Alligator mississippiensis: one gene and its partners. The protein of the gene in region 4 interacts with the protein of the main gene of each other region in a pairwise test. Links are inferred from orthologs where the notes say so. Each region holds a gene or a part of one and is shown on either strand. Other genes may lie near its edges. The genes, in order: CUL5, PKP4, RITA1 and GOLGA2.

Region 1 (7,986 bases), on a different chromosome or scaffold from region 4:
ATAAAGGATTTTTCCCCTTTTACTGCTTTGTAACCTCTCCTTATTGACAAGCATTACATAGCATACACATAAAAAACTCAGCAGGCAGGCTTTAGGTGGCAACAGTTATAAAAACATTTTTCCAAATCTGAATGTCACATAACATAACATCCCTTTTTACAATCATGATGCTATGATGCAAAGTAGTACAGTAGAGACAGCAAGGAGCACAGTACAAGAACCTACATAAAACAGAAACTGGTAAATAAGGCACTGGCCTAGAAGTCAGGAGACCTAAATTCTATTCTTGGCTCTGCTGCTGACCTACTGTGGGACTGTAGGCAAATCACATCACCCTTCTATGCCTGTTCTTCCTACTCTTTGTCTTATCTGTTTCATCTCTAAGCTCTTTGGGGCAAGGAGAGTCTTCTTCAGTGTACATACAAAGCCCAGCACAATGAGGTCCTGATCTCAGCTGGAGTCTCTAAGTGAAACCTGTAAACACCTAAAAAGAGACACACATTTGATTACTTTGGTGTAGCTAGCAGTTGGGGTTTTTATTTTTACTTAATAATAATAATAATACTGTCTTGTGCCAACCTAAGAGATTAATTTATTGGCGAGATATATGGCTTAAAAGTGCTTAAATCTAACATGCAATCAATCACCACCTGTCCTAACCAGCAACTCTTACAACTGGTAGTGCAGCTACAGTGGTTACCACACAAAGCAAATAGGAAGGAGAGTGGGGCTTTAAATGTATGAAGTGGTAATTAATCAGAACTACAAAAGAGTTCATTACATAACTACAGTTAGCACGAACTATTTGCTGACATCTTAGGCAATCCTTAAAAGAAACAAGTCAGCAAGAGGTATCCAAAGAACAGAGCCAGAAATATTAGTTGAAAGCTGAAGAGTCTATGCGTGTCTGGTGTGGTCCAGGTTGATCAGACAAGAGACGGGGATGAAAGAGAACAGCTCAAACAAGCGGACCAGTAAACGGGATGAGATTAACTACTTAAAAAGGGAAAGAAACACAAAAGGGCAGGAATTAGTTTAAACCCCATCCTGCAATAGACTTTCCCCTCCATACAGTGCCCTACTGACTCCAATGAAACTGTACCGATGATACAGCCTGCTTGCACCGACTCTCAGGCCTTGTCTTTACTAGGATTAAAGTAGGGTTAACTAAACCTGACACACTCAATCACATGGTCTTCTGTACATGTCCCCTAAAAATGCCTGCTCTTGACCTTTTCTTTCCTATCTTTTAGGGCCATCCCTCCAATTTCCAGAAAGTTTAAAGAGATATACATATCATATTCTGGAAGGGTATAAATGTACTGCAAAGCAAGCTTCACTTCATGCTAGTATGCTTTATGGAGAACAGTTTGCTAAGCATCAGGAAGGAGTTTCTATTTATTGGATCAAACTCTTGTGCAACTTTTAGCAGTTTTTGTTGCCTCAGTTTCCTCTTTGTAAGAGGCCTTATATTTGGCTGCCTTTTATAAAGCTCTCTCAACTGTTCTGATGAAAAGTTACTACTTAATTTTACTTATTTAAAAGCACTGTAAGACATCAGTAATGCCTCTTTCAGTCATATTTCTATACCACCTTTGCCAAGAAAGCATCACTGTATATTTAGAATACAACTGCAACTGTTCTTTGAAATGAAATGTTTATGAAAAAGTCATCACGCTACACCTAAGCCTGCTGCCATGCAGAGCTCCCTGAACGGTTAATGCCTTACACTGTTCTCTCACTTAGTAGAAGCATTGTTTTCCAGTAGAATACAGTCAAATCCGGTGGGCCAAGTGTCCTTACATCTGCTTAAAGGCTGTGTAATTCTGTTTCCACAAAGGAAGTGTGTCAGTATCCAATAACTCCCAAGCACGCTGCAAGTAACATCACACGGCGAAAGAGCAATGATCAAATGGGACACTCTAGAGGTGTCAAACTCATCTGACCCTGGGGCAGCATTAACCCCCATGGATACTGGCTCCTCTGACAGTGTAGCTCTGGCAGTTAAGGGGGAAGGTTAATACTGTCATCATCGCAGACCTGCATCCTCAGCAAGGATCCTAAGTTGGGAATCTGGCAACAGGGTAAGCAACAGCAGTGTTAACCCCCGGCCTGGGGGCTGATACAGCAGCCACGGGGGTTGACCACTACTGCTGCCTGCCCCACTGCCCGCACGTCTAGCCCCACAGGCGGGATCCGGAGACCGCAAGAAGCCCTGTAGGCCGCATGACCCACCTCTGCAGGCCAGATTCGACTGTGACACACCACACCGTCCATACACCACGTGCTGAAACACCACTCATCAAAACAGTACTCAACTTGCTCTCCACATCCCTGGCGTTGCTTCTCAGGAGACCACCAGGTTTGTGCAACTCCCTACCCCGCCCCACGGGTCAAGCGATCGGAGCCACATCCTCTGCCCCCGTCCGGGAACTTGGCACCCCTTCTCCTCCGGGTGCCAAGCCCCCGTGACTCGGCCCTTTCGCAAGAGGTCCCCAGCCCTCAAGGCCGCTCCTTCCCCAGCAGAGAGCAGGGCAATGTGCCCCTCGCCCCCGGCCGCAGGTCGCCTGGCACCAGGCGCCGTAACAGGTTGGCAGGAGCCACCCAGGGAAGAACAGGGCTGCAGCTCCGGCCCCCGCTCCCGTGCTACCCACGAAACAGCTCCGAGACCCCCCCACCCTGCTCGCGGGCCCCACGCCGGGAGCCCCGGGCCGGGTCGGGCCGGGCCTTGCGGGCGGCGCTGACCGCGGGGCAGCGGCCAGGCCCGGCGGCTCTTTGTTCCCCGCGGGGCCCGGCCCGGCGCCGCTCTCACCTTTAGGAGATTAGACGTCGCCATGTTGCCCCGCGGGCCCCGGGCGGCGGCGCTCCCGGGCCGGGGCTGGGCTGGGCTCGGGCCGCCCCCGCTTTACATGGCCCCGCGCGACCCGCCCCTGCCCCCGCGGCTCCGCTCGGGGCTCCGGAGCGGCCGGCTCGGTGCTGCCCCCCCCGCCGCCGCTGCTCAGCGCCTCATGGCGGCGCCCGCCCAGGACACACGGCCGCGGCCCGGCTCCATGCGAGGGGCGGGCACGTGAGGCGGCGCCGCCACGGAGCGCGCGGGGGGGCGGGGCGGGGGGCCTACGGCGGCGGCAGCGCCCTCTGCCGCCCGGCGGCCGCCTCGCCGGCACCCCGGCCCAGAGCCCGCGGGAGCCCCCGCCCCCGCCCCCGGCAGCAGGCGTGGCGTCGGGCCGGGCCTTGGGCGGGGTGAGCGGGGTGAGGTCGGGCCCGTGCACCCCCGGCCCTTCTGGATCCGGCGCACTGCGGAGCCCGGTCCAGCTGCTGCTTTGCACACAGCACCTGTGCAGGGCGGATCTGCCACCCGCTGCATGTGTGTGTGGTGCCCACCCGGGTCCCCTGGAGCACGTGCCACGTGCAGCGCAGAGCCTGGCCTGGCCGGAGCCGGCCCCACATGCAGTCCAGCCCTGTACTGGTTCCTTCGTGGGCTCTGGGCCGTGCAATCCTGCATCCGCTGGTGGGGTCCAGTCGGGTACAGGCTGCATGCAGAGACCAGGTCAACACCGCAGCACCGGGGCCGAATGATGGGGCGCCACTGGCCGGATCCAACACGTGCGCCACGTCTTTGACACCCCTGCTCTTAGGGAACCCCTCCATCTATCATTGCTCCTTGGCCCTCTCCATCTTTCCCAGGGAGACCTCATCCCCTTCCAGTCTCCCAACCAGGAAGGTCATAATTTGCTGAGGACTCAGCATTTTTTTAAAATTCTTGGGAATGGTAATGCTGTGGTTGAATACAAGTTACTTTCAAATTAGAATGGTTGTTTTCTGTTAGATTAATTTGGGCTTTGATTTAAAAAAAATATTTTTAGATACTGAAAACTTAATTTGCCCAATTTTTTCCCAAAACTTAAATATTTCAAACAAGTTACTGCTTTCCACAAAACATGTTGGCTTTGTTAAAGGTTTGTTTGTTTGTTTAATGAAAAATCCATTTAGGTGAAAAAAATGTTAACCAGTACAGCTCCAAAATTAGAAAATGCCAGAATTTAGGTTGCCCATGAAACTGCAATTTGGTTGTTTGGGCTTAAAGAGCGTGATTCAGTCTTTATTAATGGATCACACACTATTTGTTTATAGTGCCTACCACATTCAGGGCACAGGCTCAATAGTACTCTGGGGATGCATGGTCGATGTGTAAGTAAGTAGGGTGACATCCTGGTTTAGCTGGGACAGTCCCAGATTTCGTAGGCTGGTTGGTGAAAATTGAAACAAAAGTCTTGGAATCAGCCACCTAGGCAGAGGCAGGTGGGCAGGGTCGTGAGGCGCAGTCTGGTGGGGAGCTGAAGTGGCATGGTGAGCCAGGAGGGCCAGCAGGCAGGCAGGCACTGCTGCTGCTGTGTAGGAGCAAGGCGGGCCTCTGCCTGCAGCACCGCTGCTGACTTCGGGGTGGAGGAGGTGCCACCTTTACTTGAAACAGTGTCTCAGATTTCCTTAAAAGAAACATGGTTACCATACGTGTAAATGATAAAAGTATGTCTGTAAGACTCTTCCCTGGTTTGCAGCAGAAGCTAGTGAAGGAGGGAGGACACTGCAGGAGTAGGAAGAGTGATCTTGTGGTTAAGGCAGCTGACTGCTGGTCTGAAGATCTGGATTTCATCCCTGATTCTTAGAGGGCAACTCATTTAAACCACATTTTTCTAAAGTGACCACTAAACAGTTGGGTCATTTTCTAGTTACCCATCTTAAGATACCACTGGCATCACTGACAGGAAGGAGTGTTATGAGCTTACAACCAGAACTGAAGTCAATGGCAGCTATGCACTGAACATAACATTTTATAATTACTCTGAGAACTCAGGCTTTAGGCATCTTAAGTTTCTCTCATGGTAGCTCAGATCCTCATTTATAAAATGGAGATAATACCCCCATGACCCTGTAGGTATGTTTATGAAGATAAATACAGGTTCGTGAAGCACTGAGGTACTACAGTCTCATCAGCAAAGAGCCCAGGAGGAAATAATTTTGCATTTAATGAAGGGTCTGAATGATAGACTACGAGAGCAAATCTTCAGGCATTCTTTGATTCTTCCATTTGAAGATGAATGCTTTACAGAGGACCCTTATAACTAGATGTTACTAGTTTGCACTCAACTTTCAAAGACAGGGAATCATGCATCTTCTTAGTAAAACAAGTAATGCAGGCAGAAAACATTATATACAATGTAAAATAGGGTTGTCAAACATTGCCCACAGATCCTTTCTATCTGGCCCCCTGGACCAGTGTTTCTTAACTCATGGTACACGTACCCCTGGCAGTACGCAAGACACAGGCAGGGGGTACGTGGGTGCCATGTTTTGAGTTTGGCCCACCCCACCGCCTGGCGGGTTGGAGGTGTCTTTGCCTGTTCTGGCCAGAAGTTCCCACCGTGTTCAGTGCACCAGGGTTTTCACTCCCCAGTGTCAGTGTGCCGGGGGACAGGGAGGGAGGCCTCGCACAGACTTCTTTGCCCTGGGCTGTGGTCCTGGAGGAAAAAGTGGGACTCGGCTTGTAGCAAAACCGGAAGTGCTATGGTGGGACTTCCGGTTTTGCTTTTGCCACATTGATTGGCAGGAGGTATGTAAGGTACCAAAGTTTGAGAACCACTGCTCTGGACTACTGGCCTGCCACAGATGGCAGGGCCATTTTACCCAGCTTGTCATGCCAATTGATGGTGAGTTTGGATCACCGCTGTGGCTGCCTCCAAACTTTTGGACTCCCCCTGCTGCTGGACCCACTGCTGCATCTAAACTCCAGCTCCTGCTAGACCCCTGCCCCCAGATCTGTCCCCACCTCCAGATCCGCCACTGCTGTCTCCAGACCCCTTGCTGCCACCGCAGTTGCTGCCACCCTGGTGGTTGTCCCTGTGCTCCAGGCTGGATCCAGCCTGCAAGGAACCCTGCAGACCAGATTTGGCTCAGGGCCCCATATGAGTTTGCCATGCCTGGTGTAAAACACAGTAACTATCACCAGAAGTCTATGAATAATGCTAAACAAAAACTATAAATCAGTTAGTATTCTGGCGTCTCCCACACACATACACACTTTTAGCCATTCCATGTATTTAAATATAAAGTTGTATTATAACATTTGCATTTCAACACTACAGCCCAGTGAGGACCAATTTTTTTGGCAGATGTATACATCCTCCCCAGTGCCACTCCATTCCCTTTCCCCTGCCCAATCAGTTGCTCTGCTTTCTGCTCCTTGCCTTATGTTCCCTGCCTGATCTGCTGCTCTGCCTCCTGTTCCCTAACCTATCTGCCACTCTGCTGCCTGTTTCCTCCCCGGCATGCTGCATGCCACACACACAGGCTGCCTGTGCCACTTGTGGGACACATGCCACAAGTTGGCCAGCCCTGGTTTAGCACATCCTTATAAATGCATTATTTCTTTCTTATCTCCTTCCAGAGATGATTTCTCACTTTGACTATAACATAAGGTATAAGTCATCTGCACTCTTCAGCTTCAGAGCGTAAGAACTGCAGCTTCTCCATTCTCTCCAAGCAGTTCAGAATTTGTTGGCAAACAGTCTGAAGTCTCTGCAAGTAGAGTTTTATTGCCTTAGCTGATCCTCAGCTTCTACAAAAACAGAGGTCTACAGCCAGTATCTTAAGTGGTGCAGGTACTATGATCAACACATATAATATCTATTCCCAGGAACTCTACATGGTTTTAAATCCATCTTTTACCCATAAACCCAGCTAGTTAGGTAAAAATATATAAACATTTGCTTTGCTTAACTTCACTCAGCTTTGCCTGTTCTCTGTTTAACAGAATCATAATCCAAACAAGTTGTCTAATAGCTAAATATAAATTCCATAAACAAAGCCTTTAGAAGTGACAATTATTCCTTCCTAATGTTTCCCCTGCATGCATTTAACACATCACAGTGGGCTAAATATCACCCTATCAGAGCATGCTTCTAGTAAACTGGAACAGCACTCCCCTGTAGCCAGAATGATATCAATATTAGGCCCAAAGCCCTCTTAGCCCTCCTACCTCAATCAGCTCCATAGTCTATGCTATTACGACATCCAGTCCAAGACTTAAGTTCCAATCACCTGAGTTTGCTGACCAGACCTGAAGGTTTGCCAGTGAGGCTGCTCTTGGCTTGTCCCCAGCAGCTTATCTCAGGCCAATTAGATGTAAATAGACATTGCCCTTTGCCCTGGAAGAGAGCATTTTGCCCCAGGATCCTATAGTAATACAAGTCTATTGTCTTGCTTCAAGTTCCTCTAAGGCTCCTTGGGAGGCTGCCATGTGAGTCTGTAGGGTTATTGCAGGTCATTCTAGAGACAAGGTGGCCAGGCTTTATGGACACTGACAGAAGTGACAGTTGTCACATGATCAACCTCCTGAAAGTGCTCGACAGTCCTGCCATGACACATGTGCATGACTGCACAGTGCTTTAAAAGTGGCTGATCACATGACAAATTAACCCTTGTCTAGTGAGGGATCAGATGAAGGTGCTTCGAAGTGGAGCACCTAGGGAATCTGTGTTCCCTGGGGTCAGTCTGTCAGTGCAATTGGGCTGGGCTGCATCAGCTCAGTCCCACCCCTAGGGCTATCTGCAGGAAAGGATGGGGGGAAAAGGGAGGGGAAGGGAGCTGCTGGCTGGGGTTTGCCTGGCCTGAGTTGGAGGGGGATGGGTGGATTGGAGCTCCCCCCCATCTCCTGATCCCCCTACCCCTTCCCCCTCCAGTTCAGGACTGGCAAACCCCATCCTGCAGCTCCCTTCCCCTTCCTTCTTCCCCTTCCCTTCCTGCAGACAGCACTGGAGCTGGAAGGGGGGTGGAGCACAGAGCTAGGGGAGGGAGGCTGCAAATAGACCTCTCCACTGGTTCAGCTCCAAGGTGGAGTTTGATCCCCCCAGCCTTGACTCAACAGGTGAACATCTGTTGTGTATGTGGGGGGGGTCACTAACTCATGACACTTTATGTGAAGCACCATGA
Region 2 (7,920 bases), on a different chromosome or scaffold from region 4:
ACTTTAAGTGCTAAGCAATTCTAGTGGGTTGGAAGCAGTACTTCCAAAGTAGTAGATTTGCTTGGTACCCTACAGTGTTCTGCGGAACTGCGCTCAGCACCCAGTAGGAATGAGACTGCAATGCTCAAGCTTGATTCTTCAACAAAGCAAGAAACTAAATTAAGAAGTAACTAGGTGACAGTATTCCTCAAAAATGATTTTATATAGGCTGAGAAATATGGTAACCAAATAAAATTAAGTAGAATAGTGAGGTATGGCACCATTTAAAAAAATGGGAAAAAAATGCTCACTGAGGAAAAAAAAAATGTCAACTCAGTGTTGTGACATTATATTTGGAAAACAAACTTCTTATTAACTTGGATTTATTTCACACTCACTATTTACTGCATTTTAACCAACTGTGGTTTACAAATGAGCCAAAGGTGTATCATAATAGTTTCAATTGTCTTGATTTCCCTCTATCTCCATTCCCCCCCCAAAAATATTTAAAATCATTTTAAAGCAAACTAAGTTTTAACGAAAAATAATTTATATTTTTTCTGTTGTGAATGCTAAATAGCTCTTCATTTGTTCAGATGCACTCTCTCCTCCAAATACTTAAAACATATTCAAATTCTTGTAACTTCAGCATCTGAGTTAGACGATAGATAAAATAAATACAGCTAAGCAAAACCAGAAGAACAAAGCAGAACTGTTTTCAAGACTGCTATTTATCTTTATAATCCTTCCTTTCCAGAAAGCAGGTCCTATGTAGCTACTACTCTACCTACTTATGAGCAAAGGTACTTCTCTTGCTCTCATTCAAATAAGAGATTCCAGGTAGTTGTGAAAAAGTAGAAGTATCAACTGACATTAAAAACTGGTCATGCTAATATTCTTCAAGCACCGAGAACATCTGTGAAAGCCCAAGTTGGAATCTGGCTTTAATTCCAGGGCAGGTTAAATGAAGCAGAAAAACATTAATGATTTGAAAGATGCAAGAATCATAGCAAGAATAGAACTGTCAAATAGCAGTCAACTAAACTTCTTGTCCAAAAAAGTGAAAGATACAATGAATCCTGGCAGAGATCAGATGAAGAGGTCACAGCAATCCAGGTAGCTTTAAGAGGGAAAGGACATATACACTCAAAGATTCACATAGTATTTGCTAACAAATACAGTGGAGGCAAGGTCCTTTCCTAATGGCACTGAGACTGTAAAAAAATACTCACAAATCAAATCCTGAAGAAGGCACAAGAAGAATTAAAGGATGAAAGCTTAAACCAGACAAATTCAAAATAGAAGTGCTGCCAGGATTTTTACGAGTAAAATTATTAACCATTTAATTGCACATCAAGGAAAAGGGTAAATACTTCAGCTCTTAATATCTTTACATCAAGTTTGGATTTCTTTATAGAAGATATTTTGACCTAATAACTTATCTTTGCTTCATATAGAATCTTAAGCTAAATAAACAAGAGGGATCACTGGTTTTATTTTTTAAATACATGAATGCATGAAAGCTTGCTTAATAACTATTCTCCAACCATTTGGGTTGGTCTAATAAAAGATATCAAATTCACCCAAGGAACCTTGTCTGCCTATGTCCTTAGACCAACATGGCTACAACCTAAACCCCTGTGACTATGACTAGTTATCATTAACTTACTGTGTTTCACTGGTAAAACAGAAGTGCTTCAACACCCTTACAAACCTAATGGAACCTCACAAAATAATTCCTTGTCTTTCTATTACTTCCAAAGAAGCCAACCCACATCTAGGGTGCCTACAGATGTTTACGGCCCCACTCTAACTCGTGGCACTTTATGTAAAGTGCCATGAGTTAGAGGCCCTGCCCCAACAGAGGGGTAGGGGCTGGAGCCTGCTTGCCCTGGCCAGCAGATGGGACCCTGCCTCTCCCCTCCCCTCAAGCTCTGGGGCTATCAGTGGGAGAGGGAGGAGGGGGAATGGGTTTTTGCTTTGTGCTTATTTTATCCAATAGGCTTTCTTTTGCTTTAATTCTGTGGGTCTAAGATAACATGACCGGGGAAACTCAGGAAAATAGAGATTTACACAAAATACATGCATCTTTCTTTCCCTAAAAAAAAAAAAAAAAAAAAGCCAAACAGGAAGTGCTCCTCAGGTAACAGGGAACATTTTAGCACTTTTCCCAGTCAGAGCATATATTAAAACCTCTTATGATTTGAAGTTTCTTACAGTATGTATTTCCATAACCAAACAACATATACGTTTCATTAGTTTTCAAAGAAAAAGAAATTAGACATGTCTATCTTCTTCTTTAGATGGTATGGGTTGATTTTTAGGTACCCACATACAATTCTGACACTCCAAAACTTTGGGAGGTCTGAGTTTGGGACTGGGTCCTGCCACTGTCTCCTTCCTATCATCTAGGAGGAAAGAGGCACGTGAACCCACATACAGTGTGTTAGACACTACAGGCTACAACTCAGCTGACTGTCTACCTTCCCCACTAACTGGAGGTAGGATTTCTCACAAGAGTTGCTGCCCTACAAAGTTGAACTTAAAGCAGAATCTCTTAGGCTTTGGGTCTCAAGATCAAGTAGAAGAGGAACTCGGGCTTCAACACTACCAGCAGTAGAAGTCACTCTCCAGAGTTTTGACTCCGGTGAAGGGCTGAACATATGCAAACAATTGATTTATTCCCTCAGGACAGAGTTGTCTTTTGGTTGTTCCATCTTATGAACTGTAATTTAGACTTTTCTGATTAAGAGAACACACATTTCTGAACAGCCACCTCGGCCATTGCAATGGCTTCCTAGGTGCTTTATCCTTCTCCTGGACTTTTTCCATTTCTGTACTTGCATAAGTTTCCCCAGCATTTAATTCACAGCCACTCGGCCTTTTACGAGTGTCCCTTCACTCCACTAGGGCTGACACTAGTTGAATGCTCTGATGTGCTTCAGTGTCCACAGTAAAGGAAGGCACTGAACTACTCTGAGAAGTTACCAGTAAAAGCTAAGCCAATTTGATCATTCAAGTTTTGCAGCAGTTTGCCTGCATTGATTTAATATTGATGTAGTTAATCCAGTCATCTTTAGCAACTATGACCAATTAGCTTCTGGAGGGACAGATATTTCTTTTCTTTCCCTAGCACCGTTTCTATTACTCCTCCCACAATTGCTACTCCATTTTCTACTCCCCTTTTCTTTTCTGGTACCTCTTCTCAGTTAACTTGCTTTCCTTCCTCTTTGCCACTCACCTTTTCTTTAATCATGTTTCTCTTCTCCCTATTGACTCATGTTTCCTCCCCCTTAACCTTGCTTTCTTACACATGTGGGATTTCACAGATTGAACACTTTGGGCCTGATTCTCCATTGCCCTGCACTTTGGATAGTCAGTGACACTTCTGCAATTAGGCCACCATTCTGGTGTGGCAGCGTCAGAAAGGCATCTGGAACTGTGAAGAATCAGCAACCCTATTTATACACACCAAGTTATTCCCTGCAGATGTTTGATCAGATTTCTTCCTGCTGACTCCTTTAACCTATGGCAATAACAAACACTACAGAGACAAAAAACTTATAACTGTAACCAGGAGGAAATACAGAACCAATCGGTATATCTATTTTCAGAAGCAAAAGGTGGGAAGACAGAAATCACATGTGCAAGAGATGCCCCTCCTCCTTCAGAAATATAGATGACTTTACTCAGGGGTCAGCAATATATGGTCCACAGGCCACACCTGGCCTCTGCAGCCATTGGATCCTGCCTGTAGAGCCAGGGGGCCTTGCCCACAGCTGTGCTGGGCAGCAAGGAGCTGAGCCAGGATCAGGTGGAAAGGGGTGAGCTTGTGCTGCACCTAAGGGGTAGGGAGAAGAAGCAGAAGGGAAGAGCGGTGGCAGGGTTGGGACACTGGCCCACCTCAGACCAGACCGAAGCTTGATTATTTCCACCAGGGGCTCCAAAAGATTGTTATCTGCCGCTTGACATGTTTAGCTATTCCTTGTCTTTCAACTGCCATACAGTAACCACCCAAGAATAAGGTGAAGGACATAGCCACAGCACAGAAAGACAGCTAAACACTTACCCCAAAATTCAGTATAAACACTGCTTATTACTCACAGGAGTAGCCTACACCTCATTAAGGCCTGCGGCCTTGTTTTTCCGGAGTGGCCTAAGTCTTTAGTAAGGATCCTGGAACTGACAAGACCTCTAGTTTTAGGGGCTCCCCAGGCCTTGATACTGAGGGAGCCAAGTCAGTTTCACCCATGAGGGAGTTAAATAGATACAGCACGACAATTTTTACCAAGGAGAGCGAGAGGGGGCCCAAGGCTTAACCACTTCGGTGTTTAAAGGTCACAAAATATCAGACATTAAGTCAGTCACTGATTCAGGTCTGGATCCCAGGAATTTGGGGAAATTAAGGGAAACAGGGGAGAAAGAAAGGGAAAGAGAGAGAGAGAGAGAGAAAGAGAGAGAGAGACGTCTCCAGCAGCAGGATTTGAGACTGCAGCGGCGGGGGGAGATTGGACGGAGGGCAGCAGCGAGGAGGGATAGATGCAGGTAAGCGCGGCTGGCTCAGTCCGCCCACAGACCCGCAACCGCCTCCCCCGCACGGACCCGCAACCTGCCGCCGCACACACCCGCGCCCGGAGAACCCGCAGCCCCTTCCACACAGCCTGCTCACAGCATCGGTAACCCTGGCAACCTCAAGTCACCGCCTCATTGGCTGATTTCACACGAGGCAGCGACCAATGGCGCGCGGCCCTGCGCGGGGCTCGGCCAATGGCGGCGGGGCACGGGGCAGGGCGTCGCGTGACGCGCGGGGCGGGGGGCGGAGCCAGCGGGCGGCCAGGAGTGGACGCGGCGGCAGCGGCGGCACCATGGAGACCCCGGGCTAGGGCCGGGCGCGCGGCGCGGCGGGGGCTGCGCTGGGCCCGTCCGCGCCCGGACCCCGCCGGCGCCTGCATCTGCGCGGTGAGTGCGGCGGGCGCGGGGACTGGGCGCCCCGTCCCGTCCCGTGCTGTCCCGTCCCTTCCCTTCCCGCTGCCCCGAGGAGCCTCCTCCGGCGCGGCCCCGTGGCCAGTGCTCGGCTCCGCAGCCCGCGCTGTGCTCGGCCCCCGCGTGCGGCCGGGCACGGGGCGGGGCGCTGCCGGGCTGGGCAGGTGCGAGCCGCGGCTCGGGCGGGCGCAGGAATGCGAGGAACGCGCCGGGAAGGAGCCCGCCCGCTTCCCGCAGCCGCAGGGCCCCGGAGCATCTGCCTGGCGGCCTCCCCGCCCGCCTGCGCCGCGCTCAGGTTAGAGGCTCGCGGCACTTGCCCGCCATGAGATCAGTCCTGGACTCTGCCCCCCCCCCCTCCTCCCGCGGCCTTTGCTTCCCGCGCCAAGTTGAGCTCCTGCTTGAAACATGCTGGGGCTCCGGGGAGGTCGGACCAGCCTGGTGCCGCAGCGCGGCCTCCCCTAGCCCTTGTGGCTGCAGGGTGTGGGAAATTGCTGTCGGTGCCTGGACACCTCTTGTTGTCTCCTGAATTGCGGCTTTTCATCTTCCTGAGCCGCAGCGAGACCCCCATATCTCACGTCACTCGAAGGAACAGAGAGGCAGTGTTGTGGCAGGGATGGGACAGAGAGGACGGTCTGGCACCGGGAGCTGTGCACGGGGCGTGTCGGCCACCAGCTGAGACAAGGCAGCACCGCGGCAGGAGACCGCTTGCCACCATGTCTTCTCCCACCGTTACGCTCTGTAGCCCGACGGGAGTTTTCATTCTGCTGCTCAAACCATCGTAGCTGCTTCTCTGGGTGTTTGCCAGGGGGTGATTTGGAGCAGGTGGGAGAGGAGCGGAGGAGGAAGAGGTTTTGCCAACTTTGGTAGCAGAATGCTCCTGAGCGTGGTCTAATAGCGGTTATTTTTTGTCTGTGGCTTTTCTTTCTCTGTGAGTTAAAAGGTAATAATTACAATGGTAGACTGTCTTAGAGAAGTCAGGCTGGAAGGGAACCCCAGAGGTCATCTAGTGACTACACTAGTCTAACCCCCTGCCTGAGGCAGGATCATTCCTATCCAAACCGTCCTGTACAATCCATATGTAAGACTGCCATCGAATATGATGCAATACAGACTTGGCACCCTAACCTGCCACAGGTAGAGCAGGGGGACTGCAACAGCCAACCTCTCGCTTTTATGAAATGTCAGTACAAGCTCAAGAGATCCCAGGTAGAAGGCCATGCCTCCACTGCAGAGGAAGGCAAACCCCCTTACAGCCCAGACCGATCTGACCATGGGGTAAAATTCCTTTCTGTTGCCAAACATGGCAATCGGTCTAACCCTTTGTAGAGGGACAAGACCCTGTAGTTGGAAACCTCAGGAGGAGCATTGGCACAAATCAGTCAAAGTCTACATAGCATTTATCTAAAGAAATCATAGTAGTAGCTAAATCAATTCGGGGACTGTTATGCCTGCTGCTGCTTTGACACATTGTTTTGGACAGTTTTGTTACTAGGGCATCATGATCAGAAGGATAAATTTAGCTATTTGGAATCTGTTAATCAGTGTGGAGAGTGGTTAAGAAAAGAGGAATATATTTCTCCAGTAAACTCATAGCATTATTGAACTGCTTTAAATCCAAAAGGTCTGAGATGATTGTTAGTTGCTATGCGTGTTGAGCACAACTAAAGGATTAAATGTGTGGCTCTCTCTTCCCATGTGACAACCACATATCAGTACCCAAATCTTAGAGATATTTTTCACTCCTAAAATATTCCTTGTTGCTGAATATAGGGAGCACAGCTATGGATTTTCCTGCCTGATCAATAAGCAAAATAAACGGAAGAAAAATGACAAATACCTTCAAACAAGCACTTCTGACTGACTGTAATGACGCATGCAGATGTTTTATAGCTGACACATTGTGCCTCTGAGGATGGATTGCATTTACTAGTTTGCCTGTGTGTATACTAATCGGCAGGAGTCATACAAAAAGTGTAGGCATATTGGTAGACGTGATTTAGTAGGTAGAGCATGTCTACCCTGTCTGGATTAGGGGTTCTGAGAGGGGAAGAAATGAAAGAGTGAAACGAATTCTGAAGTTGTTGAGTCTAAGATGTTGCAGCACAAACTAATATTTCTGTGATCAATGGGTGCTCCCAGTGTAAAATTCTAAATTGTGTATAGGAACACTATATTTTTTGCAGGGGGGACAAGTAAGGAGGGAGGGGAAGAATGCTCTTTTTTCAGATGCCAACACACACACAAAAATCTATAGGGCAAATGTACTGTTGTATTTTCTAAGTATGTAGTCCCAAGAAGACTATTCTATGCTTCCTTTCTAATCTTCCTCTACATACTAATATTTTAAACAGCAGTCCAAACCAGCATGTGGTATATAATTATGTATAAAACTAACTGCTTGAAGCAATAGGTGTGGTATTAGTAAAGGTAGTAATATTTTATAATTTGCCTTTAATTCTCTTGATGACTGTAAATTTTTTTATAAATCCTACTTGAAGAAGGGAGACCAGGAAAGGAGAATAAACCTTTTTTTGCCTTATTGAATAGTTTTCGGGGGGAGGTGGGGGGGTAGAATTATTTTTTAATGTGGTAATTATTTTTGGCAATTCTTTTTAAAACTTAAAATTGGAGCATAAGATTATTGGAACATAATACATATTTTGGTGAACAGCATCATCTTGCAAATCACATCTATTCTCAGAGGGAGAAATACCCCAAAAGCAAAAACAAGAACAACCCTGCTCCCCTTCCCACAGTTTTTGCCTTGGAAGCTGTATTAATTCAGTTGTTTTTAAAAAATATTCATAAAGGACACTTGCAGTATGCTACGTGCATTTTTAATTTAGTTGGTTCAATCAATGCACTAAGTATTTTCCAATAATAATTAAATAAGGTCATTCCTACCTTGCCTGACACACTTTTTCTGTGAAATGCTATGTGTATATAAAGTATGTACAT
Region 3 (7,760 bases), on a different chromosome or scaffold from region 4:
CCCAGCAGCACCTGCTGAGTCAGGGCTTTTTTTTTCCCCCCCCAAAGTGCTGGAAACTAGGGGGCAGCCAGGGCGATTCGATTGAATCAATTCGGGGTAGTGATTTGAACCAATGAATCGAATCACTGTCCCCCGAATCAAATACTATCTGCTTTGCACAGGCCTAGTGGGAAACTCTGACAGATGGCCTGTAAAGTGAGTGCATAACTCCTCTGGCTTCCACTGGGCATCTCTGCCCACACCAGGGTGAGTGTAGTCATGCCGAGGATGCACCGACTCTTGGACCCTGCTGTGCACCTTGCATAACAGGCTCAGAGTCTGTAACTGGGACTTTCAGGGGCCAAGGTCAAGGCCACACTTCTGGGAAGAGCCCTGAACAGGTGGACACATGGCAACAGCTCAAGCTGAGTCTCCCCCTGTGCCTCACTCACTCCAGGTAAGTTCCTGAGGAAGATGCAGTAGCAAGGGAGGTCACAGGAGTGCATGTGGGTGGCAGACATGTTTCTCAGAGCTCAGCACTCCCAAACTGGGAAAAGTCCCAGTCAGAGTTCAGTGCCAGCCTGTGCTACCGTTTCCTGCCCGCACATCTAGAGAACACAGTACCCACCCTTGTTGCTCCAACTTACATGTCAGGATTCTCATGCAGAGCTGCAAACTGCTCTTCCATCCTGCAGGGAGAAAGGGGTGGATAATAATGGCCAGCAGAATGCACCACAGCACCCATGGCTTCAGGACTCCGTGCTGGGGCAAGAAAGGGGCACCCAGCTGAGCATCACTTGGAGGCTGTGTACCATACTGCATGGAGCCTCACATCCTCAGTTATATGGTACTGGTTAAGGACAGGTTGCTGCAAGCCTGGAGTCAGACTTTCAGGGATCACTTGGAAGGAACAAGCTCAGCAGTGAGTGACACTTTGCCCAGCAGAATACTCCCCCTGACCTAGCCTGCAGGGGCTCTCACCCTGTGTGTTTGTACACATGTAAATAAGATCAAGGCTGGGGGGAAGTTCATCCTACATGCAGGGGATATCAGATGCCAGTCCAGAGCCAGCTGCTAGTTCTCTAGATACACTGTACCCTTAGCCCAGGTCAATGCATTGCTAGAATTGAGCCAGGCCCAACTTTTTACAAGTTTCTACTACAGTTTGGGTGAGTCTTAGCAGAAACATTAGGTTAAGTGTTTGCAGGCATTTCTTGGCCCCACCAGTGCCTGGGTTGAGGCAGTTCCACCAGGGCTATTAGTTTGGTTGCAGTGTGATGGGCTTACTTGTCTCCTCCCAGAATCAGCGCAGTCTTCAGGCCTGTGAATTTGCCCAGCTGCAGGATAAGAAGCAAAAGAGAGTTAAAGCGCAGTCTGATATCAAACCACCTATTGCTCCTACTCCTCTCCAAGCCCATGAAACATCTTCAACTGCTGAGGTCCCCAGGGTGCAGGTGGCTTGACTGTAACTACAATCAAGCTGCCTACTTTCTCCCTCTGGTCTTGTTCCTCTTATATCCATCTGCTCGCTCTCTCTCTCTGAGCACTGGCTGGTCTGGCTTTAACCCTGGCTGCCAGAGAGGTCAAGTACACTCCCTGTCACTCATGGGATGCCCACACAGCAACTCCAGGAAGTGCTCAAGAGAAATGGCAGCAGCAGCCAAGCCCTGCTTAACCAGGAAGGCTAAGGAAAGATGGGCCTTTGGGATCCTTGTTAAGCAAGTGAACTCTGAAAGCAGCCAGCACCCAATGTTTCAAAAGGGATGTTGCAAGGGGGTCAGAGAGTGGACAATTACAGAATATCTGGCCTACAAGGAAAAATTCCCTCTTAATCTCAGATAGTTGCCCAACACCCTGCTCATAAAAGTGGCTCCCTCTTTCTTTCTTTTTTTTAAATCTAGTTCTGCCTTATTCAGGTTCTTACATGCCCATACAACTGAAAGAGAAGTAGGGCTAGAAGGGACCTGATAATTAGGTCAGCTAGTCCAATCCCCTGCTCCAGACAGGATCCTAGACAAGCATTTGCCTGACTGTTTTTAAAGACACTGAGAACAACCTTTTCATACAAAGGGCAGGCACAACACCAAAACACCAAGAATACCTTAATTACCCACAGGTAAAGCAAAAGGATGAGGGCAACCTCACTACGGTATCTGTGAACATTCTTACTCTACTTATACAATCTTCTTATGCTCTTGGCTTCAATGATATCCCATGGCAATGAGGTTAAGTGTCATGCAAGAAGCCCTCCCTCACCCATGGCTGCAGCGCATTGCCTCCCTGTATTACTACAAGTGCTCAAGCCCTGACAGCGAGGGCTCCTAGCTATTCTAGCCCCCATCTCAGCAGGGGCTGCTTTTCCTGGACCATACCTCCTTTGTGAACTTCATGGTCTGTAAGGCGAGCTCACGAGTTGGTGAGAGGATGAGGGCACGTGCTCCTGTCTGCGCGCTATGTGCCTTCAGCTTCTCAAACATCGGGATAAGGAAACAAGCTGTCTTCCCGCTGCCCGTCCGGGCCATCGCCACCACATCTTTCCCGTCTAATATCACTGGGATGCTCTGCAGGATAAAACCAAGAAACACTGTTGATTCACCCTATGGAATCCATTCCAGATGTGCTGGGGAACCTGCTCCACCTGCGACATTGGACAAGTCTGTGGAGGCAACCTAAGGAAGCCAGTGAACATACCATATATCTGAGAACCTGTCACTCACCTTTCTCTGGATGGGTGTTGGCACGTTGTATCCCTTTTTCATGATACCTTTGAATACAGGATAGCTTAAGCCTAGAAGACAAATATGATCATGTAAGCACTGTTCAATTTCTTTATCAGCGATTTGGATGACACGGTGAAAAGCAACCTGTTCAAATTTGCTGATGATACCAAAATATGGGGAGAGGTGGGCACATTAGCAGGGAGGGAGAGACTGCAGAAAGACCTAGATAGGTTGCAGGGGTGGGCTAACAAAAACAGGACGCGTTTCAATACGGACAAGTGCAGGGTGCTGCACTTGGGCAGTAGTAACCAGCAGCACACTTATAAGATGGGAAACTCCCTTCTTGAGCGCACGGAGGCAGAAAGGGATCTTGGAGTCATTGTTGACTCCAAGATGAACATGGGCTGACAATGTGAGGTCACGGTTGGCAGGGCTAACCGGACCCTATCGTGCATCCACAGGTGCATCTCAAGTAGGTCCAAGGAGGTGATCCTCCCCCTCTACGTGACACTGGTCGGGCCACAGCTGGAGTACTGGTGTCCAGTTCTGGGCACCCCACTTCAAGAGGGATGTGGACAACATTGAGAGGGTCCAGAGGAGGGCCACCCACATGATCCGGGGACAGCAGGGCAGGCCCTACAATGAGAGGCTACGGGACCTGAACCTGTTCAGCCTTCACAAGAGAAGGCTGAGGGGGGACCTTGTGACTGTCTATAAACTTACTAGGGGGGACCAGAAGGGTTTGGGGGAGACCGTTTCCCCTAGCGCCCCCCGGGATAACAAGGAATAATGGCCACAAGTTGTTGGAGAGTAGGTTTAGATCACACATCCATAAGAACTACTTCAGTCAGGGCGGCTAGGATCTGGATCCAACTTCCAAGAGAAGTGGTGCTGGCTCCTACCGTGGGGGTCTTTAAGAAGCAGCTTGATGCCTACCTGGCTGGAGTCATTTGAGCCCAGTTTTCTTCCTGCTCAGGCAGGGGGTCGGACCTGAAGATCTGCAAGGTCCCTTCCGACCCTACTTCTATGATTCTATAAGTAAGTGCCCACTGCAGACCAAGAGCACAGTACAGACAGCTCCTGTGACTTCAGTGCAAGCCCTGTAATACTTGGCCTTCTTTTTTCAAGCTCCAGTGCCTGGAGTCCAGTGACTAGATGGTGACCCTGGCTCCTACCGACAAGAGGCATCTAGGCCCGATAATTGTACATAAAAGCTCATGAACATGGTTTGGACTCAGGTGAATGCAGGGCCTATGGAGGTTTCTCTGGACCAGAACTCATGAGTCTGCGGAGCCAGGCAATGCTGGAGGCTCGAACTGTACCCTGCTATGAGCCTGCCCGCTCTCTTAACAAAAAATGCCATAATGCAGCTCTATAAAAAACAACAGCCCAGAGGCCAACAAGGCACAGGCCTGAATCAGGCTGGTACCACTGGCTCCTCCACGAGGCACCCACGGCCTGCTCCACCCCAGGGCAACTGCTGCCTGCCCGCCTCGGGGCCGCTCACCCATGGACTGGAAGCCCCCCGACTTCTTCTTCTTCCGGTTCTGGGCTCGCACCATCTCCCTCGTGTCCGGCTCCACGTCCGAGGCGCAATCGGGGGTGGGGAAGGCCGGGAGCATCTTGGCGGACGCCTGCTCGGGGGGAGACAAGACAGTTGTGCCCGGGCCAAGACAGACCGGCGGGGCGGGGGTCTCAGCCCGCCCCGCTCCACTACTCGGGGCAGCCGCCGACCCCTCAGCCATGGCCCCGCACGCACCGGCAGCCCCGCGCTCGCCTCAGCCCCGGCCTCGGCCTCCACGTGGAACTCGCCCGCCTCCTCCTCCTCGCTGCCGCTGCCCGGGGCGGCCCGCACGCACGGACGCCGACGCCGGCGGCGCGGCTGGGCCATGGCTACGGCTGCCGGAAACGGAAGCGGAAGCGGCCGGCACCACGTGCGCGTCCCGCGTGATCCCGCCCCCGGCGCAACCACCGCCGCTGCGGGGGAGTAGGCCCCGCCCCCGGCGCAACCACCGCCGCTGCGGGGGGAATAGGTCCCGCCCACCGCGGCGGAGATGGTGGCGCCCGCGGGCTCGGAGCTGGCGGTGAGCGGCGCCCGCGCGGCCCGCGGCGGCCGTAGGACCAGGGCCAGGACCTGGGCACGGGCCCGGGCGTCCTTCGTGGACGAGACGTTGTTCGGCCGCCCCGCGGGGGCCCGCCCGGCCCCGCCCGCCTTCGAGCCGCCCTGGGCGGCGCCCCCGCGAGCGCTGCCCTGCGCGGGCCGGTGAGTCGGTGCCGGGCCCCGCCGTGACTTGCATGACAGCTGCTTTGCACGTGTGTCCAGTCCACGTTTGTTGCGCGATAAGTGCTTTGCTGCCTGCGCTTGTTGCACGGGTGGCCGGTGCACTGGGTGATCTGCGGGGCCTGGCCCCCTGCCTCGCTGGGCCTGGGGCGTGGTGAGCGTGACCCGTCTTCGCGGTCTGGACGAGCCGCCAGAGGGGCGAGATGGAGAGGACTGGGCGGGCGCCCCGGCCTGTGAGGCTGAGCGTGGAAACGGTGGGGCATTTGGAGAAATGCGGGGAGCAGGGACAGGGCTGGGAAGGGCAGCGTGGGTTTGGGGAGCTGGATTTTCATACATTTCTCGGGTTGGAAGGGACCTATTAGATGATCAAGTCCCACCGCCTGCTCTGGGCAGGAAAGCGCTGGGGTTAGGTAACCCCAGCCAGGTGCTCGTCTAACCTCCTCTTTAACATCTCCAAGGAAGGGGAGCACCATCTCCCTTGGAAGCCCGTTCCAGATTTTGGCAGCCCTCACTGTAAAGAATTTCTTCCTGATGTCCAATCTGAATCCACTCCCGATGAGTTTGTACGCAGCCACGAGATCACCTCTCAGTTCTCTTGTGGAGGCTGAAGAGATTCAGATCTCTCAGTCTGTCTTCATAGGGTCTTACCTGCAGCCCCTCAACCATACAAGTAGCCCTCCTCTGAACCGTTTCCAGGTTATCCACATCCACATTTTGGATGACGAGGATGCCAGTGAGGATAGCTGGAGGCAAGGGAGCTCATCCTGGTTGGTGAGAGGCTCTCTAGTCTGACTTACTGCACAGCCATGTGTGAGGACAGGAGATCTGGATGCATTCCTGTCTCTGCCCCTGACTTGCCGTTTTTGCTTGGCAAGTTGCTTGATCTGGATAGGCTTCTGTTTTCCCATCTGTAAAATGGAAATGACTCCTCTCTCTTTGTGAAGCTTTTTTAGGTGTAGGGATGAGAAATATACCATAAAGGGGTTTTTTGCCTAATATTTCTTTCCTTAAAAAGAAGTTTTTGGGTGGAATTTTCAAAAGTATCTAGTTTAGGAGTCCCATGGAAATTAAGTAGGACAAGTGTGCTTCACTTGCTAATTGCACCTTCTGAGTGATCGTTAGGTCTCTGCATGCAATGGCCACTACTCTATATTCTCTTTGTAGTAATTATTTTCTTCCCCCTATCCCACCCCTTTCTTTCTCAATGAAGGTTGAAAAGTCACTCTCCATCCTACTGTGATGAATCTTTGTTTGGCTCAAGGGCTGACGAGCCAGGCTGGGCAGCACGGCGGATGAAGAAAGAAGATATAGCTAAACTCCATTCCCTCCTGTGGACCCCTTCATCTGTTCCCAGGACCCAGTCAAGCCTTTCCTCAAGCCTTACCTCTTGTTCCAAGGGGACCCCTCTGAGAGCTGTTCACCCAAAGACCCCCAAATCTCAGAGACTAGGCCATTGTGAGACAGAAGGGAAAACCTCTTTCTGGAAATGGCCTGAGAGTGGTCTGGACTCTGTCAGTCCAGGCAACCTCAACCGGGGCCGTTCTCAGTCCCTTACCCAGGTATACAGGCCTTCTGATCAGCTCTGGCTACCTGCAGACAGTCCAAATACAGGCAAGCATCAAAACCAGCGCTCCCTGACAGCCTCTGTAGCCTCCCAGGGTTCTCTGCCAAGGGCTCGGTCTAAGAGTGTACTAGGAATGTCCTCTGCCAGGGTACCCAGGACAACAGCCTTATGCCAGCCCAAACCACCCTGGAAATGAATTTACTGCTTTAAAATATGTATATATGTAAATACACTCATCAACCAACAGTGCATATAGCAAGATGAGAGATGCGTCTCCTCTGAACCTCATGTTATGGCTGCAGGTTGGGGAACCTCCTTTTACCTGATCTGGGGCAGCAGGAAATCATGCCTTATCTTTCCTGTTAGGTTCCAGCGAGGGGTTGTCTTGGCTCAAGCAGGATAAGGAAAGAGACAATTTGCAAGTGGACAAGGAATAAGATTTCTGGGTGTCCTGAAATATGTGGTGCAGCCCTACTTTTTAAAGCATCATCTTGCAAATGGAAGGCCTGATAGCTTCAGTGGGGTTTGGATCCAGCCCTGGCTGTGAGCAGACAGCTGAAGGTTGAAAGAGCGAATTTATATTGAGTGTTGTGGCATGCTGTTGTATCAGCCTTGTGCTAAATGCTTGTAAATAAATGAAGGAGCAGAAAAAAATGTGCCATGTTTCTTGCAGTTTTTAGGGTGGGGATGGGCATTGCTACACCCCATTTCTCTGGCTCAGTTTCAGCCTTGATTACAATGCCAGGTACAGTAGAGATCTTTGGGCTGGTTCTTGGAATCTGGAGGCAATTCACTCTAGTCTTTGACTTGTAGGTAAAGAAGAGTATCTCCTTTTTTGAGGGTTCCAAGGAAACAGAAGACAGCATTTGATGTATTTGAATCCCATGGGAGCAGCTCTGCTGAACAGGAGGCCTGCAACTGAAGGGGCTCCAAAGCCAGGGTTGGAACAAAAGGCTAGAAAGTGAGCAGGGAAATCATCTACAATCTGGTCCTCAGAAGGGATCAGCGCTGCCTTCCCTATTCTTGCCCAAAGAATGTAGATGGCCAGAAACACCAGGATGCATTTGTCTCTAGCCTGCACATTGCTGTGCTGGCATTTTGGCCAGCACAGTTGTGGGAAGAGCGTGAAAAGGGTTCTGCCACTTCCCTCTTGTCTATTTGATCCTTGTCTAAAATTGGGATTTGTTGGGGCTCTCAGGCCTAAGATGGACATGAC
Region 4 (7,902 bases):
GCATTAGCTCAGATGCCAGCATTCAGCTTTTCTGCCTATTAGCATTGGGTGAGTGTTTAAAGCAGTGTTTCCCTGACTCAGGAGTTCTACCAGCAAGACAACTGGGAAGAGAAATTCGAAGTATAGTCTGTAATGAGAGAGAGAGCAACTTGGAAATCAGTCTGAGGCCCTGGGCATTGTTATCTGCAGCCTCCAGGATGAAAATCTGTAACAGCTACTCAGTCCAAAATGCACTGGTGCATGCAAAGAAAGCAGAGAAAGGCACTTGGGACATGAAGACTAATGGAAGAGTAACGTTTCCATATTCACAACAGCACAAACACAGCAGGTATGGATTAGGCCCTCATTTTGAGATTAGCCACTGACACAGAAAAATTATTCGTACATCCTACCTCAACCTGTCCTTGAACAAGCATCAATTCTCTTTCTGATGTGTCCATCTGATAAGCTTAATATAAATTATATTTCCAACGTGCTGCATTCAACCCCACAGGAAAGCACCTGTCAAGTGCTCTTACCATGCTAGCGCTGCTCTCCCATATAACATCCCACAGAAATACCCCACTTGCAAGAGCTTTGTGCCAGGCACTGCAAGTCTCTGATGGGAGAGCTGCTGCATTAATATGCAAGGAAAACTACTGAAAGTCTTATTTTATCTATCACATCATGCAGGTTTCACAGCAGAGTCCTCTACTCCACCTGGTGATTAACATAGTTATATCTATGGGTAGAGCAAAAAGAAAAGGATGCAAGGCAGGTATAATGATATGCTGGACTTGAAAGCTTAAGGTGAAGAGAGTTGTGGACACTATACAAGTTGATAGGTAATTGAGGTTTTAGGAAAGCAAGAACTAAGTACTTCCTGAATCATCATGTTTTATTTTGCATTTTCTGTGTTTCTATCAACATTTTAACCTTCTTTAATTTATGAGACTACTTTTATGAAACATGTTGAAAATTAAAAGGCTGGTAGAAGCTTGCTCTCTCATACTTGTATTTTATTATAGATAAGAATCTTCCCAGTCCCTTTGCTGCCAGAACTACAGGCAACATGAAGACATTAGAGCTAGTTAACACTTGCTACAAAGTATCTGACTTCCTGCCTAGACAGATTTAAAACCATGCTACTTGCCAGATTGCATCACGTGTGCAAATTTCATCACCTGTCACAAAATGAGCTGGCTGGAATAACTACACAGTTTACTTAGGGCAACTGCTTGATTAGAGATGAGCAAGAACATGTCCTTCAGAGATGAGGCACTAATAAATAAAACAGCGACATGCAAACAGGAAGATCACAGATCTAGAAAATAAACCCAGTCTGTGGCCCAGTTTGAACAATGTTTTTATATGCCCCATGCCGCATCTTTGTGGGAACAAAGTGTATGGGGAAAAGGAGTGGCGAGGTGTTTACTACTCATACCATCACCCAGGATCCCCGATACAATTCCAAACTGCCTGATCTCACAAGTCTATCTTAAGGGAAGCTGGTACATTTCACATCTTTGCGTTTTAAACGTGACACAAATCAGAAGGAAACACACAAGTAGGAGCAACAAAGAGGCACATTAAAAGGAAAAAAAAGCTCAAGGTTAATGAAAACAGCAACAAAACTCAAGCAACTGACAACAAATATGCCTGAATGAAGCTTCATCCAAAAAAATCGAGAGGCAGTTTAAAGAGAACTTGAAGCATGCAGTAAGGACAGCAAACTAGTCAGAGGGATGCCGAACACTGCCTCACCTTCCTCTTGTCCAATGAGGGTATGGCTACCCCATTGGATCGATTAAGGTCTGACACCAGCACCTTCAGTATGTTCTGAATCTAAAGGAAGTGAAAGAAAGTGGAAAGAGAAATGGCTCAGAAAGACAGAGTGAGACACCAATCAAAAGGTGGGCTGCAACCAAAGGACCTTGCATTCACTCTCCCTTTACCGAAATGGATGTCGAAACATAGGATCAATCTTAGAAAATGAGGGCTGGAGGGGACCTCAGGAGGTCAGATCTAGTCCAATCTCCTGCTCAAAGCAGAACCAGCCCCAACTAGATCATCCTAGCCAGGGCTTTGTCTACCTGGGTCTACAAAATCTCTAAGGATGGAGATTTCACCACCTCTCTGGGTAGCCTGTTCCAGTGCTTTACCACTCTCCTAGTGACAAAGTGCTCCCTCATCGCTAACCTGAATGTCCCTTGCTGCAACTTGAGACCCTTGCTCCTCGTCCTGTCATCTGCCACTCCTGAGAACCGCCATCCTCTTCGTTACCCCCGCTTCAGGGAGTCCAAGGCGGCTCTCACCCCTCATCTTCCCTTCTCCAGGCCAAACAAGCCCAGTCCCTTCACTGCTCGTGTGCCCCGACCCCTCACATCCATGTCAATGTTTTTCTTGCTGGGGTCACTTGATCCCAGCTGACTTCCTGCCCATGGCAGGGTGGTGGGGGCTGGACTCGATCTCACGAGTCCCTTCCAGCCCCCGATGTCTATGAAATCTATGAAATCCACACTGCGCACTCTGGAGTCAAGAACGGCTTCGCCAGCGGACCCGGCCCCAGCCCGTGGCGCCGGGTCCCGTTAGCGGCTGCGGGGTGCGGACCCCATCCGTCCCCGGTGTGTATCACGACGCAACCGGGCAAGCGCGGGACACTCACGTTCTCGGGCGACGGCCTGTCCCTGTCGTCGGCACCGGTCGGCGTGTCGGGCCGGCTGCCCTCCTTGTTCTTGCGCTTCTTCTTGGCCGCGGCCACGGGCCCGGGGCTGTTCTTCTGCTGGAACTCCTTCAGCTGCGGGGGAGGCGCGTCACCCGGGGACCAGGCCCGGGGGGGGGGGGGGCGAGGCCCGGCCCGGGGGGGGAGGGGAGGCCGAGGTGGCTCGAGGAACAGAGGTTTAAATGGGGGGGGGGGGGCCCGGTGACAGCCGCCGCCGCGGGGGGAGGGGCTGGTGCGGCCCCGCCCGCTCGGCCAAGGTCACCGGTGCCCGAGGAGGGGGCCGGAGCGGGGGGTGGGGGCGTTACCTTCTTCTTGGCCGCGGCCAGCTTGCTCTGCCGGCTGCCGCCGTCCGCCATGGCCGCCACGTCAGCGGGGGCAGGCTCCGCCCGGCACCAGACACCAGGCACCAGGAACCAGGCAGGCGGTGCCCGCCCCCGCGCGCGTGCGCATGCGCGTGCGCGCCGCCTCTCCCGCTCGCGTGCGCGTGCGCGCCTTCCCTCCCTTGCCCCGTGCGCATGCGCGCTGGCGTTCCCCTTCCCCTCCCTAGTGCGTGCGCATGCGTGCGGCCCGCTTCTTTCGTCCCGCGGTGTGGTGTGCTCTCAGCCTTGGGCTCCTCCTCGGGCCTCCCCTGGCGCGGGGACTCCGGCCACCCCCTGCTCCTTGTTTAGGAAAAGGCACCTGTCACAGGGCTCAAAAGGGGGTTGCTGGCAAAATGCCTCCAGGTCCTGAAGGAAATATGCCATATTTGTTGCCAGGAGAAAGGCAGGGCTGGGGGGGAGACACACCCAGGCCTCATCCTGCTTCATGGCGGTGGTGAGCTCGTGAGGGGACACAGTCACACCTCTGCCTGGGATCTGTGCAGCATATCTCTGCCCCGTCTGCCCAGGTCTCTCCCTTGGGCCTTTGGGATATGAAGCAGGTTCAGGGGTCGCCTCGTACAGTGTTAGGGTTGTGGGGTTGAGGTGGTGGGTGGTATAGGATGGTTTGGACAGGACTCATCCTGCCTCAGGCGGGGTTTGGACCAGATCAGCGGTTCCCAATTTGTGGTATGGGTGCCACCAGTGATACGCAGACCACCTGTCAGCGGTACGTGTTAACAGATTTATTATCATTACTTTATCCGACAAAATTTGCTGATGGTACGTAAGGTTGAACTGAAAAATGTGCCGGTGGTACTGAAGGTTGCATCGTTTTAAATTAGCGGTGCGCAATCTCTCAGAGTTTGTGAATGGCTGGACTAGATGGTCTCTGGAGGTCCCACCCTTTGTGATTCTTAGCTGTGTGCCGGGCTAATTTCTCCAGGAAACAGTTGTGCCTTACAAATTTAACCTGGTGTTTATCCAGTCTTGTCAAATCTCTCTAGGTTTCTCTATCATGCTTGAGCCCTGCCTCTGGGATTCATGGTGTGTGGAGGATGTTGCTTTTTTTTCTGGATTGAATCTTGAATTCTTGGACCTCCCTCCTTTAGCTTATTTCCTTTAAGCGGAGTAGGCCAGATCAGGTCAGTAGTCCGTTGAATCTGTTATCACTGCCTCCAGCATTTCCTCAGGGGTAATGTTTCAGAGAAAGATGAGTGTCACCACTGCACATGCGGTATGCTCACACAGTTATACCGGGGTAAAGACAGGAAGGAAGCTCTTCCTGACATGTGCCTAGTGCAGTGCAAATGGTTTTCTTGTCTTGCCCTGGGTTTGTATTGCAAGAAGAAATTGAGAAGCACTAGTGAGAACAGGAATGTAAACATCTGTATAATTGGGTGTGGTTCAGGTTTTCAAGCACTGAGAAATGTGACTCATTTTAAACTTTGGTTCTCCTTCAGCCAGCTGCTGTTTTTTTAGTATTTGCCTGTATTGGACATTTTGTCCAGTTGGGATGTTGAGATGTGTGTTCCACCAGGGTTAAACTTGGGCATAAGATTTCAGAGGAATGCTCAAGGGCTGCAAGTGGTGGTATTGCAGCAGGTGTTTCCCTTTCTTCTAAGTCACCATTGAATCCAGTCAGACATGGTATGGTGCGTGTGCTGTATGAAGGGTGGTGATGATGGCACTCTTTTCCTTTGAGACTCAGTTCTGAGTCAGCTTCTCAAGCCTATTAAAGGATTTTGTGCTTAAAGAGATGCTGCCTTTTGGATGAAATGCAATATTTAGGTTTTGACCACTTTGAAAAAAACAACAGTTATGGTATGTTTGTAAGAATTGGAATTTTAACCCAGGTGTCCTGTCCTCATAATTATTTGGATAGTTATAATCTGCACCAGCTAAAGTTTCGGATGCTGTTTCCAATGGAAATAAATATTTTTTACTATTAACTGTTGTGGGGGTGTTACTTTGTGCTGTTAAATAGATCTTTGTATTTTACACCAGAGGTTGCTGCATTTCAGTGGTGGGTAAAATATGTCATTTGTATATCAGCTGTTTATAAAGTATTTTTGTAGCCTTCCAGGTCAAAGTTAATATATAGAAATACTTTGGTAGAATACAATAAGTTACAAAAAATGAATTTTGTTAAAAACAAAGTGCTTGGATACAGGTATATTTTCTAAGCCTTGAGAAATTTAAAAATGAAATAGATACCACAGGACAGGTTGTCTTCTTGATTTTTGTTTTAAAATTTCTCAGGGAAGCTAGCAAATAGTATGTTCATATCAATCGATTTATCCTGCTTCACTTATGTGATGAAGACTAATTATTTGTGCAGGGAATGTTAGTCAAGCACACCAAGATGAGCACTACCTAAATGATAAGTATTGTTACATGTAACAGGGGTATAGGTTGTAGCTGTGTTGATTTAAGGACATAGGGAGACAAAGTTCTTTGGGTAAATCTGGTATTTTTTATTAGAGCAACTCAAATTTTGAAGTGTAAGAATAAACACTTGACACAAGCCTCAAGTGTCAAGAAAAATGCTTGAAGAGCTGTCAAACTACTATGATGTAATTTTCCAGCTTTCTCTGTTTCTGCTGTGCTCATGCCAGCTCTGTAGACATGAAGAGTTAGACAACAGATACATAGCCCCCCACAGTGTTTCTTCCTACAAGTTGCATGGTTTTGGAGGATTAATGAAATAATTGCTTCTGGGTCTCTCTCCCAGTTATACATCAATGGATGTTGTAAAGCTCTCTGAATTCACTGAGAAGCAAGTAACATGTACAGGTGAGTTTACGAGCTCATCTTCACATTCTTGATCCTGTTCTTCCTTAATATGTAAACTTTAAACTTGATTTGTAATAGCAGTCAGTAGGATTTTGCATACTTTGAAAAATAACTCTTGTGTCTTGCACTTCAGAAATCTTAAATCTTTTACTTCATTGTGTGAGACTCGCATAACGTCTTAGCTCTGAACAAATAAGAGGTTAGACAGCGGACTCAAATATATGGTTTGGATAGGGCTGAGCCTGCCTCAGGCAGGGCGTTGGACTAGATGACTTCTGGAGGCGCCTCCCAGCCCTACTTCTCTATGATTCTGTGATAATAACTATTACCCAAACAGCCACAGTTACACGTCTAGTACCAGGCCTTATCTTATCTTTGGTATATTTTGCTAACTGAAGGTGATTTAGAGATGGCAGAGTACAGAACCTTTTCAAAATTAAATCGGAGTGGGAGCTGTTTATAAAAGGAAGCTGAATGCAAGATAAAGATCATGCAAGATAAAGATGGAAAAGATCTGCACGACTGTGTGACCATCTCAGTCTGTGTAGTGTTTCTGCCTACGCTCATGATGATTGGATGCAGGCTGGTTCTGCAATACTCAAGCAATGTGGTTTTTGTCACAAGGCAGACAGTGAGGGTTTCTATCTAATACCCCCTGCTAGGAGAGATTGCATGCAGGCTGGTTACATCTCTAATCTCTCCTAGCAGGTTCTTTCAGTGCATGTTATATATACTGTAGTAGTGCTGGACACATCACAAGGACTGCACCATTACAACCAGGGGTAGATCTAGGATTTTAAAAAGGGGGGTGTAGCTGGTGCATCGCATCATCACATATAACATCTATTTTTCTCCAGCTAAAGAGAAATCAGAAGCTTTACTAGTTTGCTAGGGGCCTCGTGCTCTATTTTTCAGTTTAAGATCAAAGTGAAAACAAACAAATCTGTATTGGAATGTGCATTAATCTGCTGGGTTATATATAACGCTTTAAAAAGAACACAAGAAATGAGGCAAAAAAGGTTAAAAGATGCTTTTTAATTAGTCCTGAAAGTTAAATGTCCATGTCTTTTTAGATTCACTGAACAAAACCTGGTTTTCCTGAGTGCCTTGACAGCACCTCAGCACTTCACTGGGGGTCATGTCTACACCTGAGATTATATAACCACACCTAAGTGAAGGTTTTTAGCCAGAGCTAAAACCAATCTACAGCGCTGTGAAATAGAAGAGACACAGGACCAGGAATGGCAAACAGACTGCAGCATTGCAGAAGAAAACATAGGTTGCACAGTGGAACATCAAGACCATTAAAAAGGTCGTTCACACCTATGGGATGAAGAGACATTAGCAGGAAACAGGTAGATGATCATGAGCGCTGAAGTCAATTAACTCAGTGCTGCCTGACCCAAAATGCCACTGCCCCTCCCAGGCAGGTGGTGTTACAGTTTGGGTAGAGCAGAAATCAAAGGGAAGGGGGGCGCAACTGCCCCCCACCAGATCCGCCCCTGAATTCAGCCCATTGCTTCTATCCTGTGCTTATTCCAGGACCCTAAACGCAAGTGACAGGGAAGGAGCAAGCTCGAGCCTTCCCCCTTCTTCCAGAGGAGAATCCAGGCCCTGGCAGCGGTTCACCAGGCCAACATGCCTGCCAGCCCCTAGACAGGCTGCAAGAAACCCTCCGCGCCCCGCCCTGCCAGCCCCAGGCAAGGTCAAGAAACTACAAGCCCCAGCGGGCCGAGCGGCGCCAGGCCTCCACAGCCTACATGTCCCTACAGTCGGCTCCCCAGGCGACGGGCCACCAGCTCCCGGTATTCAAAGCGGCGTCAAGCCGCCACTAACTACAAGTCCCAGCAGCCCCTACAGCTCCCAGCATGCAAAGCGGCGGGGAGACCGCGCGGGCAGCCCTGGATGCCCGCGAGCCCGGGGAGCGCGGCGCGGCGCTGCGGCCATTCCCGCGCCGGTACGAGCTCCCTCCCTGCCCCGAGGGCTCCGCGCCTGCTGGGGCCACTGCTCCCTCCCCTGGGCTCGGGGGGTGCCTGGCCCTCGGTGAGC

Evidence for each region.
Region 1: the proteins of GOLGA2 (region 4) and CUL5 interact in binary tests that used the Homo sapiens proteins (3 or more experiments, as listed by UniProt). The two-hybrid records come from large-scale screens. The link is inferred for Alligator mississippiensis from reciprocal best matches to the Homo sapiens genes GOLGA2 and CUL5.
Region 2: the proteins of GOLGA2 (region 4) and PKP4 interact in binary tests that used the Homo sapiens proteins (3 or more experiments, as listed by UniProt). The two-hybrid records come from large-scale screens. The link is inferred for Alligator mississippiensis from reciprocal best matches to the Homo sapiens genes GOLGA2 and PKP4.
Region 3: the proteins of GOLGA2 (region 4) and RITA1 interact in binary tests that used the Homo sapiens proteins (3 or more experiments, as listed by UniProt). The two-hybrid records come from large-scale screens. The link is inferred for Alligator mississippiensis from reciprocal best matches to the Homo sapiens genes GOLGA2 and RITA1.

Annotation. Positions count from the first base shown.
Region 1 is NC_081824.1:437,106,073-437,114,058, forward strand, and holds the start of CUL5 (cullin-5), read right to left. Parts: upstream 3,037-7,986; 5' UTR 2,837-3,036; coding exon 2,813-2,836; intron 1-2,812. UniProt on the Homo sapiens protein: Core component of multiple cullin-5-RING E3 ubiquitin-protein ligase complexes (ECS complexes, also named CRL5 complexes), which mediate the ubiquitination and subsequent proteasomal degradation of target proteins.
Region 2 is NC_081827.1:222,273,486-222,281,405, reverse strand, and holds the start of PKP4 (plakophilin-4), read left to right. Parts: upstream 1-4,830; 5' UTR 4,831-4,938; intron 4,939-7,920. UniProt on the Homo sapiens protein: Plays a role as a regulator of Rho activity during cytokinesis. May play a role in junctional plaques.
Region 3 is NC_081833.1:26,042,326-26,050,085, reverse strand, and holds RITA1 (RBPJ-interacting and tubulin-associated protein 1), read left to right. Parts: upstream 1-4,717; 5' UTR 4,718-4,753; coding exon 4,754-4,962; intron 4,963-6,190; coding exon 6,191-6,740; 3' UTR 6,741-7,198; downstream 7,199-7,760. Other genes in the region: ATP-dependent RNA helicase DDX54, read right to left, coding at 627-668, 1,267-1,316, 2,352-2,540, 2,697-2,767, 4,207-4,333, 4,459-4,590. UniProt on the Homo sapiens protein: Tubulin-binding protein that acts as a negative regulator of Notch signaling pathway.
Region 4 is NC_081835.1:57,572,682-57,580,583, reverse strand, and holds the start of GOLGA2 (golgin subfamily A member 2), read right to left. Parts: upstream 3,106-7,902; 5' UTR 3,058-3,105; coding exon 3,007-3,057; intron 2,777-3,006; coding exon 2,645-2,776; intron 1,825-2,644; coding exon 1,744-1,824; intron 1-1,743. Other genes in the region: DNA repair protein SWI5 homolog, read left to right, coding at 7,722-7,810. UniProt on the Homo sapiens protein: Peripheral membrane component of the cis-Golgi stack that acts as a membrane skeleton that maintains the structure of the Golgi apparatus, and as a vesicle thether that facilitates vesicle fusion to the Golgi membrane.